Linked DNA regions of Mytilus edulis. Each later gene encodes a partner of the first gene's protein in a complex. Links are inferred from orthologs where the notes say so. Each region holds a gene or a part of one and is shown on either strand. Other genes may lie near its edges.

Region 1 (7,251 bases):
GATCGATACATGATATCAAATTTTATAAAAATAAGTCATCTACATATTGAACAGGGTAGACACCGTAAATTACCTTTGGAAAAAAGATTATGTCCTCTCTGTAAATAGGAGGTAGAAGATGAATATCATATCATTTTGCTTTAAAACGTCAAATTTTAGAAGGATGTAGGCAAAAACTTTTTCAGGAAGTAGAGAGTATAGTTCCAGATTTCACCCAAATGTCTGATAAGGAAAAAATTGCATTTGTGTTTACATTTAATGAGTATGACGTAACTGAAATTATTGTATAGGGATTTATGTTTTAAATTGGTTGAATATTGAGCATTCATTTGTTGCAAAGAAATAGCCTAGCTGATACGAAAAACTAGTCGATGTAACAAAGTTATGACTATTTTATATTTTTCTTATAGTAGGCCTATTTGTTATGATATATTTTATAACAATTACATCACCTCCTCCAAAAACATCTAAATATGGAGTCTTATATGATATGAATGTTGTTTAAATCTAAATATTGTATGTTTGTAATGATTGTCATGTTTGTCTTGGTAACAATCCAATATTTAGATTTTACACCAATAATACGATTTGATTTGATTTGATTTGATTTGGTAGGAAATATCAATGTACAATTTTCGTTAAGCAACCAACCATCAATCATCTACATACTGGAAAAAATTACTAAGCAAAATAATTGGAACAAACATTATGTTAACTTGGTCTTAAAATTAAATCTTTTTAAATTTCATTTCATTTATTAACCGGGCAAAAAGTCTTAGAAATCAGGGACAGTCTGAACTATCTTTAGAAATAAGAAAAACTCTAAAAATTAACAAATCTTAATGAAAACCCACGTGAAAAATCCTACGAGAATCATTAAGAAAAAAAATAAAGTTTTGTATTTATAAAAGAGGGGCGAAAGATACTAGAGGGACATTCAAATTCACAAATCGAAAATAAACTGACAACGCCATGGCTAAAAAACAAAAACAAAAACAAACAATAGTACACAAAACACAACATGGAAAAATAAAGACTAAGCAACACGAACCCCATCAAAATGGGGGTTAGCAGACCCTGTTTCACATGGGGCACCCGTCCTGTTGCTCATAATCACGGTAGGTATAGTGTCCGGCTAGGATCGTGGTTTTTCGAGTGATTTGATCGTTTTTTTTCGAGTTTGACCACTTTATTTCAAGTGAATATGATAAAAAAAATATAAACAAACAGACTTCCTTTCTGACAAGACGTGATATAAGATCATATAACAGTTTGAGTTTAATATTCAAGGCTATATGTACAAGGTGTGTTAGTATTAGAGAATGAAAGATATTATTAATCCGACATTCATGATTTTTTGTTTATAAATGTTGTATTTAGCCTTACAATGCTTTTATTCCACAAAAAAAACAACAGACTAAAGCGTTTTTTAAGCAGTTAAGCTGCCTTATGCTACCATCCTATAGATAAATTTGTGTTCTTCCCACTGAATGGTGTTAAAAGTGCTATTGTTATTATCTGGCTGGTTAATATGTTATTAGAATAACTAATTTGGCACTTTTTTCATACTTTCAATTCTGGAATGCAATACATATGACCAGAAAAACCTTAAATGATCGTCGAACTACCAAAAAATTTGAAGTTGCACATAAGAAGTAGTGCTCAATAGAAATCCGTTCGTAGTTTATTATCCTATGTGCTTTTGGCTAAGATGTCAAAGAACAATTGTATGAAATATTTCATCGCCGAAAATCTCTAATTACAAGTCGTTTACATTTCCCAAATGGCAAAAGGCACAGGAATATTGTTCATGCATGTACACGGTGTCACCAAATCTCTATATGATAGAGGAAATAAAGTTATATATAGTTGTCCAAGTCGGCGGTAATTTTAACTTACACGAAACGTAAGCTATTAGTATTCTGATGTTATAAAACCCCCCTCTTTTTTGAGAACTTGTAAAAGGTGCGATACTTACCCCTTAACCATATACTATATATATATTCATCTATGGGACAAGATAACAAGTCAAATGAAATATAGTGGAGTCACTGGGGTCACCCACCCCCTTCTGTTTGAGAACTTGTAAACGGTCGAGATCCCCGCCCATACACCACATATATTCTGGTATGTGACAATAAAACAAATCAAATGAAATATAGGGGGTATCATGGGGGTCAACCCCCCTTCTTTTTGAAAACTTGTAAACGGTTAAGATCCACACCCCGAAACCATATATATTCTTGTATGTCTTGTATGGGACAATAAACTAAATCAAATGAAATAAAGAGCGAGTCCACTGGGGATCACTCCCCCCTCTTTTTTTGAGAACTTGTAAACGGTGAGATACCCACCCCTTTACCATATTTATTGCTGTTTGTCATTTCAAGAAAATTTGAATGACATACAGGGTCAATTTCCTAGACGTCACATAGGCATATCATTTTACTAGACCTAACCAATTTGTACTGGACTTTGCCCAATGTCAGGCGACCATGAGAATGACGAATTATGGAAGCTCTGTTTGGAAGACTTCGTAACATTATCCTGTTACTATTATTTCTTGTTTATTATAAAATGTAATTGATGCAAAAATAAGTCTAGGTCAATTGAATTTACTTTAATTATTTTTTTTAATAATTTCTGGGCCTATAAAAATTTTCATTTATGGCTCATTCTAAAGAAAACATATAAATCTTTCAAGCAGTGTAAAGCCCAAGAATGTTTTACCAATTGTTTTATAATCACCTGTCATTTTATTCACATCTTGGAATGGAGTGACATCACGGACTTGGTGAAGGTAAGGGTCATTTACATTTTATATTGTCAGGTCAATCATACCTCAATTGCCCGGCATAGATTAGGATTGTAAAAAATCTGCCATAGATTTTGGATGGCATGACGTCACATTTGCCATAGATTTGGAACTCACCATAGATTTGAGTCCTACAGATATAATCAATTCACCGAAGTTTCGTGTTAATTGTTTACTAGTATGTGTTTTTCAGAGTTATTTTCAGACATACTGACGACGGACGGCCGGACAGACAACGATATACCATAATACGTCCCGTTTAAAAACTCAGGGGTTCTGACTTCACCACGACAAATACTATTAGCTCTTACAACAAAAGTACCATCAAATGAAGTTGAAAAGACTATGAGTCCCCTGCACTATGTTCTAAAAACCTTTTTATAAAGGATCCAAATAATAAATAATATAAATCCGCTAGTACGTGTAACTGGTTTAAAAAAGTTAAATGTTAATCCTAGGTTCAAAATGACAACGTTTGATTTCTTTAAATATTCACAACAAATTTGCTATAATCCATACATGTAACTGTTTATAAAAACCATTCTTTATTTTTTAAAGAAATGAATGTCTGTAACATATCTTAATTACCCGGCCATTTTAAAAAGATTACTATTTGTGGACGTTTCCGTAGATTTTACTTTTTGGGGTGAACACTATATCTATTGAAATAAAAACATGACGCAAAACCAGTTAATGTACAACAACAACAAAACACACACAAAAAGCAACGTTTGGTCTCGTGTATACTTTAATAAATTGAGCTATACTGAAGTCCACTGAAGGACGTGCATAATGTCAAATCATGAAATATTTATTGTTTTAGTCTATAAGAAAACTTGTAATATTTCCGTTGCTATTTTTGGTTGCCGATTTTGATACTGTGTTACATCACAGACACGGTCTCTGAAAAGAATACGGAGAAGTGACTGTGTGTTAAACGTTGATTTATCGAACGCATTAATAATGCAAGCCTTGGGAGTAAAAGTCAGAGAAAAGAACTGTTGCTAAAGTAAATGGATACATCTAGAGAAAACCAGAACAGAATAAAATTCCCTTTACTAAAAATAAATCATATTTAACTGATAGGCGTAACAAGGCGTGGCTAAATGTGCTTAAAGGGGCGTTTTTCCACATTCTCACTGGTCAATTCTAACTTCACTCCGTTAAAACTGGTTTAAACAGGTAAACACTGTATTTTCCCTTTTCTATTAATAGAAAATCACTATAATATGTGTCTATAAACAAATATTATTTGTTGGGTTCGACATTCGGACCTTATTGTTCTAGTACGAAAGCTCGTTTATCTGAATTCAATTTTATTAAGGTGAGTTGTATATTTCCTAATAATCAGATCATTTTTTGTAGATATCGTTATATATAACAACTGTTGAATCAGTTTTCGGGAATTCTACTTTTGAAACGGCAATAGTCCATGCTATTAAGTTGTTTGTAACTTTGGAATGTATGTTAATCATATCAAAATATAACTTTAGATCTTCACTGTAAATAATAACAGAAATATGTATGAACAATATTGTAATGTTTTGTAAGTGAAGACAGTTAAATGATTTGACCTGAACCGGGCGAGGCCGGGTTAACAGGTTAACAAAACATATACATCTGAAACAATTTTCAGTAGGCATATCGGAGACTGAAATAGGTGGACAGATATATATAGTAAAAAAAAACTTTGGAAGCACAAGGTTCGTGGTCATTGGAATAAATAAGTGTTTTTATATCCTCTTAAACAGATTTGGCTGAATTTTCATGCGGGAATTAAGGGCCCAAAAAGGGCCAAAACCAAGCATTTTTTAGTTTCCAGACAATAACTCGTGTTTAAGAATATGGATCTCTCTAAAACTGTTACAAATTACCATGAGACAAATTTCAGGTATATATATATATGATACGGTCAATTTGTAAATTCAGGGATTTTTTTTAATTCCTGAAATTTCAGTGATTTTGTATAATCACTGTCAAACTGATAAGTGATTTTATCAAATCAATGATTTTGACCGTAGTCGGGATTTTACAAAATCACTGAAATATTTAAGATCTTTTATACATGTTATACAAATTCCCTGATTAAATCCAGTGAATTTGCAAATAAAAGTATTTTTTTATTCAAAAATTCTATAAAAAAAAAGTCTTCACTCAACAAGTTTGAGGCTCAATTAGGCTTTGTTTTAATACTTATGTCTTTAGATCAAGAGCAAACTTACTCACAAAAGTTCTAATAATTGAGGGAAAATTAAATGTAACATAACATGTATCGAACCAGGAAAAAATAAGAAGAATTTTTAAAACATTATTCCTAAAAGTCACACAAAGACAAAACAGGCACTTATTATTATCCTGTTCGAAACTACGTTTTTTTTTTTTTTATTACAGTGCTTCTATAGCAATTACTGAACAGTATAAACCTATTATATCAAATATATATAGACAGTGACGCAACGATCATAAGATACACAATTTTCTTCTTGATACTATCTTATGATCATAAACAAGCTTCTGTCCAAGTTTGGTACAAATCAAGGATAGTTTATGAAAGTTATTAAAATTTTAAAACTTTAACCACAGAGTGAATGTAATGTTTCCTCGCAGAAAAACTAAGTCCATTATTAGTAAAATACGGAAAAGTGGAAATTTATTTTTACAAAATTTTCTTCTTGATACTATCTTATGATCATAAACAAGCTTCTGTCCAAGTTTGGTACAAATCAAGGATAGTTTATGAAAGTTATTAAAATTTTAAAAACTTTAACCACCGAGTGAATGTAATGTTTCCTCGCAGAAAAACTAAGTCCATTTATAAATAGAATACGGAAAAAAAAGGAATTTTATTTTTACAAAATTTACTTCTGAATACTATCTTATGATCATAAACAAGCTTCTGTCCAAGTTTGGTAGAAATTCAGTATAGTTTAAGAAAGTTATTAAAATTTCAAAAACTTTAACCACAGAGTGAATATTTGTGGACGCCGCCGACGACGACGACGCTGACGACGACGGAATGTAGGATCGCTTAGTCTTGCTTTTTCGACTAAAGTCGAAGGCTCGACAAAAATCAAATAAAAAGTAAATATTTGTTTAATGTAGGTATGAAGTATTTTTTAATGCGGAAATGTGATGAAAACAAGTAAATACAACCCTATTTTCATCAGATGAAAATATGAAATATTAGTTTGAAGCCACTGATTCCCAGTTTTGGAGTCCGTCAGCTGTGTTAATTGACAATTTCAGATCTTTCGACAAGCAGTCAAACTGTCTGCAACTCCTCCATTTGGGATGAACAATGGTTTTTTTCTTCTAAATGTGGATGTTATTGGAAGAATGGATGTGAACAAAATAGGTGTGTCTATCGAAAAGCTGGAGATTGAACATTCTGCAAAAAGAAAGAATTTACTACACTTAATAGAAATGCACGAACCTCATATAATACAGGCATACGAACACACTTAGATAATAAACCAAATCAAGTGCTGAAATCTTCGATACAAATATTTTGAAGTATTGTATTGTTTAAAGTATGAACATGAAGGTGGTGGAGTTTTAACCCTATATAGCTGGAAACACTCGTCACTGACTGTAAATATACTGGAATCAAACTAAGTTGATATCAAGGCAGTAAACATCTTAATACTAGTACCTGGAAAAAAAAATAGTTCATTGATGGCTTTTACACATTTCTTTGATACCCCTTTGACAATCTACTAAACTTAGCACTCTGACACTGGAGATTTCAACATGCCATATATTTTATGGGAAACACAGGCGAGGTTCAAGGAAAGACAACTTGAAACCCAATAATTATAGTAAAAAGTTCATAGAATCACTTCAGTGAAGAAAGTCTATCACAAACAGCAAAATAACCAATAGTTTAGATATATACTTTATATTTACAACTAATCCACCAAACATTGAAAATATATCAATCAAAGATGAAATAAAAGGGACAATATGATTGAAGTTGACAAATGCCTTGATAAAGAGGTGTTCTTTGAATCTAACTAAAATATATATATCTAATTTCGTTATATTACATTATGTAGTGTAACGAAATCAGAGATCTATATTTTAATTATATTGATGATCTTTTAAAAAACAAATATTGTACCATACAATACTGAATGATGGAATTACTTTCAAGAAATATTACAACATGTTATTTTAAAATAACAAAACATATTTCACCCACGATTCTGACAACCAGGTGGAACGTGCTTTGAATGGACCAAGTTAACAGAGAGATCAAAATAATAATAAGAAAAAGTAAAGAGTTTATACAACCAGGTTAAGCGTGCTTTGAATGGACCAACAGAGAGATCAAAACAATAATAAGAACGTGCTTTAAATGGACCAACAGAGATATCAAAACAATAATAAGAACGTGCTTTAAATGGACCAACAGAGATATCAAAACAATAATAAGA
Region 2 (7,692 bases), on another chromosome or scaffold:
GGTACTTTACTCAACTGACCTCAATACAATAATGACATCTCTTCTTTTGTGTAATGCCTTTTTTAGTTGAGGTAAAATCTGTGATTTACAAATTGAATAGGAGAATTATCATTTTCATAAATTAATCAAAACCAGCACGAGAATGTACCATTTCCTTTGCTCCCCAGTAAAAGCTGAATTGATAAAAGATTTCTTGCATATTTTTTTACCAGCTTCTGATAGTAGTACATTACTATCATTAAAAAAGTTACATAAATGAATTTATTTTGTTTTTAATACCTACAACTTCAGGTACTCCATTTGACGCATTAAACATGGCAATAACTGCATTGTGAGTGGGGACATCCTTGTTGTTTGGATAAAATGATACCAGTTTAGTAGCAAGAACATTGTCTTCAGAGCATAAAGATGGCATCAAACCAAAAAATCTGTGAAAAAAAAAATTTAAGTTATAAACATTTGATATATAAGAAACAAGAGTATGTTGTAGAGCATAATGAATAGGACACAATGTCATGCTCATAAATGATATTGTATCATTTCCATGTTCAGTGAACCATGAAATATGGGTCAAAATCCTAATCTGGCATATATTTTGTAAAGTCCACATCATAATGAAATGTATACATATACACATTCATGGATCTACAATCTGTCGATAACTGTATCTCGGCATTGCACAAGGTCATGTTTTTCTCTGACTGTTTATGACATCTTTACACTAAATCCATTGGATGTTGGATGTGACAGATTGGTAATTTAGTCTAAGATGCATGATTTTTTTATTAGTTGTTAGTGGCTTTGAACTAGCTGTCAGATAAATGCAAGTACTCTCAGATCTGTTCCTAGTATCTTTATGTTGTTGGGATATACATGTACCCGTCCACGTCCACTTGTATTTGTATTTTTGTCCATCTGATGAGTTAAGCCTTTTTTAACTGATTTTTATAGTTCGTTCTTATGTTGCACTGTTATACCACTGTTCCAGGTTAGGGGGAGGGTTGGGATCCCGCTAACATGTTTAACCCCGCCACATTATGCCTGTCTCAAGTCACGAGCCTGTAATTCAGTGGTTGTCGTTTGTTTATGTGTAACATATTTGTTTTTCGTTCATTTTTTTTATATAAATAAGGCCGTTAGTTTTCTCGTTTGAATTGTTTTACATTCTCATTTCAGGGCCTTTTATAGCTGACTATGCAGTATGGACTTTGCTCATTGTTGAAGGCTGTACAGTGACCTATAGTTTTTAATTTCTGTGTCATTTTGGTCTCTTGTGGACAGTTGTCTCATTGGCAATCATACCACATCTTCTTTTTTATATGGTATACTAAGTTTCAAATTTATCTGACTACATCTTCATGGTACTTAAAATCAAAACTATAACCTTGTATGGGATTATAATAATTCTTGCAATACAGCATCATTTTTTTCCAACCACTTGCTCAACATGGGAATGGAAGTGATGATGCCCTTAAACCCATAAATGATGTTCACTAAAACCCAAGTTTTTGACAAAAATGCATCAAACTCCAAAGTTGTCCATTATCAGATATGGTGGTACCATAGATTTTTTGAAAAATTAATTAAATGCATACCTGTAAGACTCTTGACCTTTTACCTAAAGATCAGTGGGTTCTTTTTATTCACCTGAAAAGGCAAAAATCTGATTTTGGTTTATAAGATTTTGTCCTGAAACCAAATTTCCCCAAAATGCATTCTTTTTTCATTAGACCTTACCCATGAGTCTCAACAATGAAATTAACCACCATCAAAATATCTGGACAATTTCACTTTGAAAGGCAACACATGGAAAAGACCCTAATTTTTTTTTTGTCAGTATCAAAAAGCCCCTTTTCTTTTTTGTCAGTATCTAAAAGACCCTTCTGGGGTTTTTTTTTTGTCAGTACAACATGTACATGTATCTCAATGAGATACTGACAAAAAAAACCAAAAGGGTCTTTTCTTTCCAAGGGAAATTGTCCAGATAATCTGATGATGGTTAATTATACTGTTGAGTATAATTCTATCAATTGCTGCTGTTTCCTTGAACTTTGACATAATGACTTAAAAATCAAAATGCAGTGGTTCATCTCATCATTTCAAATTTGGTAAAAGTTGGACACACAGTTCTGATATTGTCAATTTTGAAAACAAATTTTTATCAAAATATCAGTGTACCAATAGCAGTTGAAGCAGTTGTGCAGTCAGGGGTTCTACTTGTACAAGTAATTTTTCAAAATTTTGCTTTGAACTAGCTGTCAGTTAACTGTGAGTACTCTCAGATATGTACCTACTGTCTATGTTGTTTGGATGTACAAGTACCTGGCCACGTCCACTTGTATTTAGTAAAAAATCTGAATTTCAAATGACATAACTAAGCCAAAAAGTTATTTACCTATACAAGTAAATAAAATACACTTGTATAAGTATCCTACAAATTTACTTATAAACAAATAAATTAATATCACTGTGTCAAGTAAATAAAAATTACTTTTACCCCTGACTGAAGGGGAAGGACCTTTACCAGGACTCCGTGATCTGGTGTTTTTAAGATCAGGATTTCGGGATTGATACTTTCGGGATTCAAGAATTCTTTTTTCGAATTTTGGGATGTCAGGATTTAAATTTCTTTAAACTTGGGACCTCAGGATTTCATGTTTTTAAATTTGGGATTAAGGGATCAGGACCCCTCCGACCCCCCCTCCTGACTATTGTGACTTTGATTCTAAAGTCAAACGGAATCTTTTTCATCCCATTAGGAAACCAAATCTTTGAACATTTGAACTCAATTTTTTTCTTGGTAGGAAGAAACTTGGTTTTTTTATTTTTTTTATATCTATAAATGTATTATATAGGATGGTGACTGCATTTAAGGTTCATCATAACCTTTTGGCTAAAATGGCCGTATTTACACCCCAAATTTTACTCTGAGTACAGACTAACCTATACACCTGCAACAGTTTTAAGGGATGGCAGATATATAGATATATAAATTTTAAATGCATTTTATGTTTCAGAAAATTATAAACTTTTCTAGATTTTGCTATCCATTTTTTTTCGTTCCTGCAGAAGGTGCAAAAATTAACTAAGTAGTGAAAACGATTGAGAAGCTCCCCTCATATAATCAATGTTGTGAGTAGTATTGATTTAAATGGACAATAGATGGACAATAGACACCTGTAAACAATAGGTTATTTAACAGGTTTAATTGTGTAACTGAGTGGACCGTATCAAAAGAAACTCAGGTGTTTGTTTATTTTGCTATCTTCTGCAGACTGGAAAAAAATGAACATCAAAATCCAGGTAAATTTTTAATTTTCTGAAACGTAGACTTCATATAACTTTTATATATCTAGTTCCTGCCATGCCTTAAAACTTTCCTGGATGTACCAGTTTGTCTGTACTCATAGTAATTTTGGAGGTGTAAACACAGCCATATTTTTCAATTCCTTATGATGAACCTTAAATGATTTACCTCATCTGACCACTATATACTATACAAGCCCCTATGATTGATTGATTGTTGGTTGCTTAACGTCCAGTGGCAAATATTTCATGCATATTCAGGACGAGAACAAGTTCACAATAAATACAATAGGTAGGTTGTTGTAAGAGAGGCCATCTAGGATGATGGTCGGGGAAATTTGGACTGCCACTGGAAAATTAGGGTATATTGGATAGGGACAGAAATTTTGCTTTGCAACAGGCCACCTACGGACCCCTCAAAGAGTTGTTGCAAGGGTTCTTAACGTGCAAAGAGCGTGGCACTCTCTTTACAGGAGGCATCGGATATAACGTCCCCTTCTGACGGACGTGACTGCGAACTTGATACATCCCGCACAGCCAAACGGAGGCTCCACTTCAGCAACCGTTTTACTGCCGGTCGGGAGAAGACCAAGTGACCATATTTCTATACCCCAGTCACCCTTGGGGTTACAAGCCCCTATGAAGTGAGTGCATGTGTGTATGTTTTTTATGGATTGTAATTCATTTTTTCTTTGGGAATGGTTAATTTTCTGGTAGTAAGTCATGTGACAGCCAGGCTTAAAAATTCTATTGATATGTGCTAATACAGTGTGACAAATGTTCTTCTTTCCATCATAACTCATGATGGTGCTCCTCAGGGAGGAGGGTTGTAAATAAGTATATAGTGTGCATACATACCCACCAGATTCCTTGACAGGAATAACAGATCTTACAGGTTGAACAACTTTTTTGTCTGAAAATTTGGCAAGAGCTTTTTCCATTTGTGGAATAAGCAATTCAAATGTAAGAACATTTTTCACTTGGGAAGCAGATATAAATTTCATAAGTTCCATTCTGAATTTTGACCTCAAGTTCTAGTATGGGTACTTGACTCCGATCTCAATAGTTTGGTGTTTTGTAAAATAACTAAAAACTGGTTGTTTTTTTTTTAGATATGTACAACAAAAAACCAGTTTCTAAATCATAATTTTATTAAATATTGCATACAAAAGTTTTTTTTTTAATGTAAAGTTAAAAGGAAACATAGCATCAGATCCAGAATATTTATTTTAGAATGCCCCTTATTAAAGGGAAATAACCAAAATGGCCGAGCGGGAAAAAGTCTATTGCCAGGTTTTCATTTTAATAATTTAATCACTTCAATTCAATTGTTACATCAAACAGAATTTTCAACAAGTTTCGGCTTCAATGTTTCTTTCAAATGTTGTTATTTGTTCATTTAATCACGTCTTTTTCTGAACCTTTTACCACTTTTCATAAAAAGATTTTGACCCTCTCAAGAAATCTTAAAACAAATATTTTTCTATTTACGTACTCTTTGGATCAGCTTCCATCTTGCTGAAATATATAGAATATGAAGTTTATACAAACAACTGATACATATGAATAAATCTTTTTTCCTAAACAGTCGAATAAAAACACAGTTTGCGTCATAAAAACATTATAATTTACATGTTTGCAAAGTCAGTTATTTTTTTTCCTAGTATGGGAAAGACTGGTGTCATAATTGGTAATATTTGGGAGTTGAAAGATCATGTATTTTTGTCAGGGATCTCCATAGATGAAAATTAAACGATGGAGGAACTACTGTGTCTATGTTGTACAGTGAAGGGCGATCGAAACTATTTAATCCCTCCACCTAAGGATTGGTGAACAGGCTAATTCATTGCTTATTTAATTATATTTATTTGAATTTTCATTATAAATAGAAGTATAAATACTTTTAATAATTGCCGTTTTTAACCATTCAAAAGCCAAGCCTTCATGGTCTGTAACTGGATTATTAATTGATTTATTTAATCTAAATTATCATAAGCATTTGCGGAAACTTAGTTGAATAATTCGACAAATGAATCGTCTATCTTCAGATAGTATTCTCCTGTCTGGTTTGTTGATCTACCTGTACAAGTGATTAGCGATCTTATCCGGATATCCCTCAGGCGTCAGAACTGTATTGAATTATAATATAAGCCTGAGGTTTATGCAATTACATGCATTTGATTATAATTGCTAAAAACAATGCTGTCGGGCTATAAAAACGATAACAGTTTTGAACGATAGCAAAAGACAATTTAACGATGGCGCAGGTCATTTGACGATGGCGCGAGACATTTGAACGATGGCGGGGCGCCATCGTTAAACAGGCCATGGAGATCCCTGTTGTCCTGAAAGGCAATTTTATTTTTTTGTATGTTGCCTTGCCACCTCGAATAATTCTGTAATGTATGCTCCTGTTCCAAGTCAGGAATCTGTATTCAGTGAGAGTGGTGACTGGACAGTCTGCGCCAAAAACTTTTACATCTTCTAGTCCTGAATCTAAATATCAAAACTTGTCCTTTTATGACGATATAAAATATTGAAAATTTTCACTAGTCCGATACAGGAAGTGTATTCACTATTGACATTTGTTTTGAATTTTAGGATTAATTTATTATTATTGAACAAAAAGTCATTTGAACACAGTGTGCTGTGAAACACAAGGACACAAGACTTTCTTATTACATTTGGATTAGATAAACACATACATGTAGTACAACATGTACAATGTAAAAAAGAAAAACAGAAGAAATCAATCTTGAAATCAATTATTATATAGTTGTTCCATAGGAAGCAAATGTATGAGAGACATGAAAAACATATAATTAGATTTTTTTACTACAAAATGAATTCCCTATTATCCTTATTTCACATTGGCCTTTTACATCTTTGCTAAACATTATTGATTTTGTTCTGTGTTGAAGACCTTGGCTTGTATAATATATATGCATTAATTTTGTTGTTAATGATTATACTTTTTGTTCATTTTCAGACAATATATGACCCAGCATGTACTGCAGGGCTACAGTCTACATGGGGATTTGGGAACCAGCTTTTTGTATTTCCTGGAAGAAAACCCACCTTGTATCCAGGTATTTGTTACATGTACTTGTATTATAGATTAAATATCACATTAATTAATCTTCATATGTTTTCTTTGCTTTAACCTTTTTCTTTGATTTTTTTCTCTTAGACAGTTTTTTTTCTGGTCAACAGATCGATAGGAGTTTTTCATGAGACCATATATGGACATAATAATTTGTATGAAATTTGTTCACAATGTGTATCTTAACCTTTTATAAATTGTGACTTGGATGGAATGTTGTCTCATTTTAACACTCTTACCACATCTTCCTATAATATCTATTATGTATTTTTGTCATAATGTGTAAATGTATTCTTGTCATTATGTGTATTGTATATTCTTGTCACTGAAATGTTTGTATTATTTTCTGTTGTAGAAAATCAGTTACACTGTAGAAGATTACAAGAGATCAGGGAAGTGAGATGGGATATAGATTTATATCATCCAGTCATGAGAAAGCTTGTAAATGAATCTCATAGTAAGTAGATCTATCTTAATCAAGAGAAAGTTTTGAATCTCATATAGTGAGTTGTTGGAATACAAATCAACACAAATCATGAAACAGTTTTTCATTGACTAACATAGTGAGTTATTGGATCTTATATTCTTAATGGCATCCATTTAAAAAAACTGTCAATCCCTGAACAAAATTGTCTGTTTAATATGCATAAGTCTAGAAAAAAAGATATAAAAGCATAAATTATTCATTTTGTATTGAACAGATATAATGAAGAAAAAAAAATTGAAACTTTTGACGGCTGCCTACTAAGTCAAATCTAAGTCATGATTACAAGCTTAAGCATATACCTGAAAACGAAAAATAATGATTATGCATAGTTTTTCCATTGACAAGATTTAAGTTATTTCCCTTTTAAGCCATACTAGTGGGGCAATGTGTAAAAATTCTTGTAAATCAACCAAATTCAATTTGTAATACAGACTGTTGTGTCCAGAATCAATTTCATTTATTTATTTATTGTACCCTGCTAAATTCATAACCACAATCTAGTATTAAAGTATCTTTCTGTAAGTCTGAATAAACAGTGAATAAGTTATTTACCAATAATTTTTTTTAAAGATGTCCAAAGCTCCAATTTCATACTACATTGGAACACATTTTGATACAAAAAGTATGTAAAACGAGAAATTTCTGACAAAATTAAAAAAAAACCAACATATTTGATAGCTGACTGTATACACTTAAATGTGTTATTTTTCTATTTTAGATATTTTTGTCATGCTACAGAAACATGCAGCAGAAAAGGCTGTTGGAGGAAGTATACATCCATTGTAAGTGTCTGAAC

The links.
Region 2: nuclear pore complex protein Nup98-Nup96-like (region 1) and nuclear pore complex protein Nup85-like share a complex: the UniProt entries of both Drosophila melanogaster proteins name them as parts of the nuclear pore complex. The link is inferred for Mytilus edulis from reciprocal best matches to the Drosophila melanogaster genes Nup98-96 and Nup75.

The regions. Positions count from the first base shown.
Region 1 is NC_092351.1:7,551,341-7,558,591, forward strand, and holds the start of nuclear pore complex protein Nup98-Nup96-like, read left to right. Parts: upstream 1-4,050; 5' UTR 4,051-4,139; intron 4,140-7,251. UniProt on the Drosophila melanogaster protein: Part of the nuclear pore complex (NPC). Required for MAD import as part of the Nup107-160 complex and required for nuclear export of Moe probably via its association with Rae1. Plays a role in nuclear mRNA export.
Region 2 is NC_092352.1:40,183,537-40,191,228, reverse strand, and holds the start of nuclear pore complex protein Nup85-like, read left to right. Parts: upstream 1-4,511; 5' UTR 4,512-4,569; coding exon 4,570-4,599; intron 4,600-4,659; exon of another isoform or gene 4,660-4,674; coding exon of another isoform or gene 4,675-4,689; intron 4,690-6,295; coding exon 6,296-6,395; intron 6,396-6,764; coding exon 6,765-6,866; intron 6,867-7,614; coding exon 7,615-7,678; intron 7,679-7,692. Other genes in the region: ketimine reductase mu-crystallin-like, read right to left, coding at 284-428, 4,165-4,319. UniProt on the Drosophila melanogaster protein: Component of the nuclear pore complex (NPC) that seems to be required for NPC assembly and maintenance. Required for nuclear import of phosphorylated Mad via importin msk.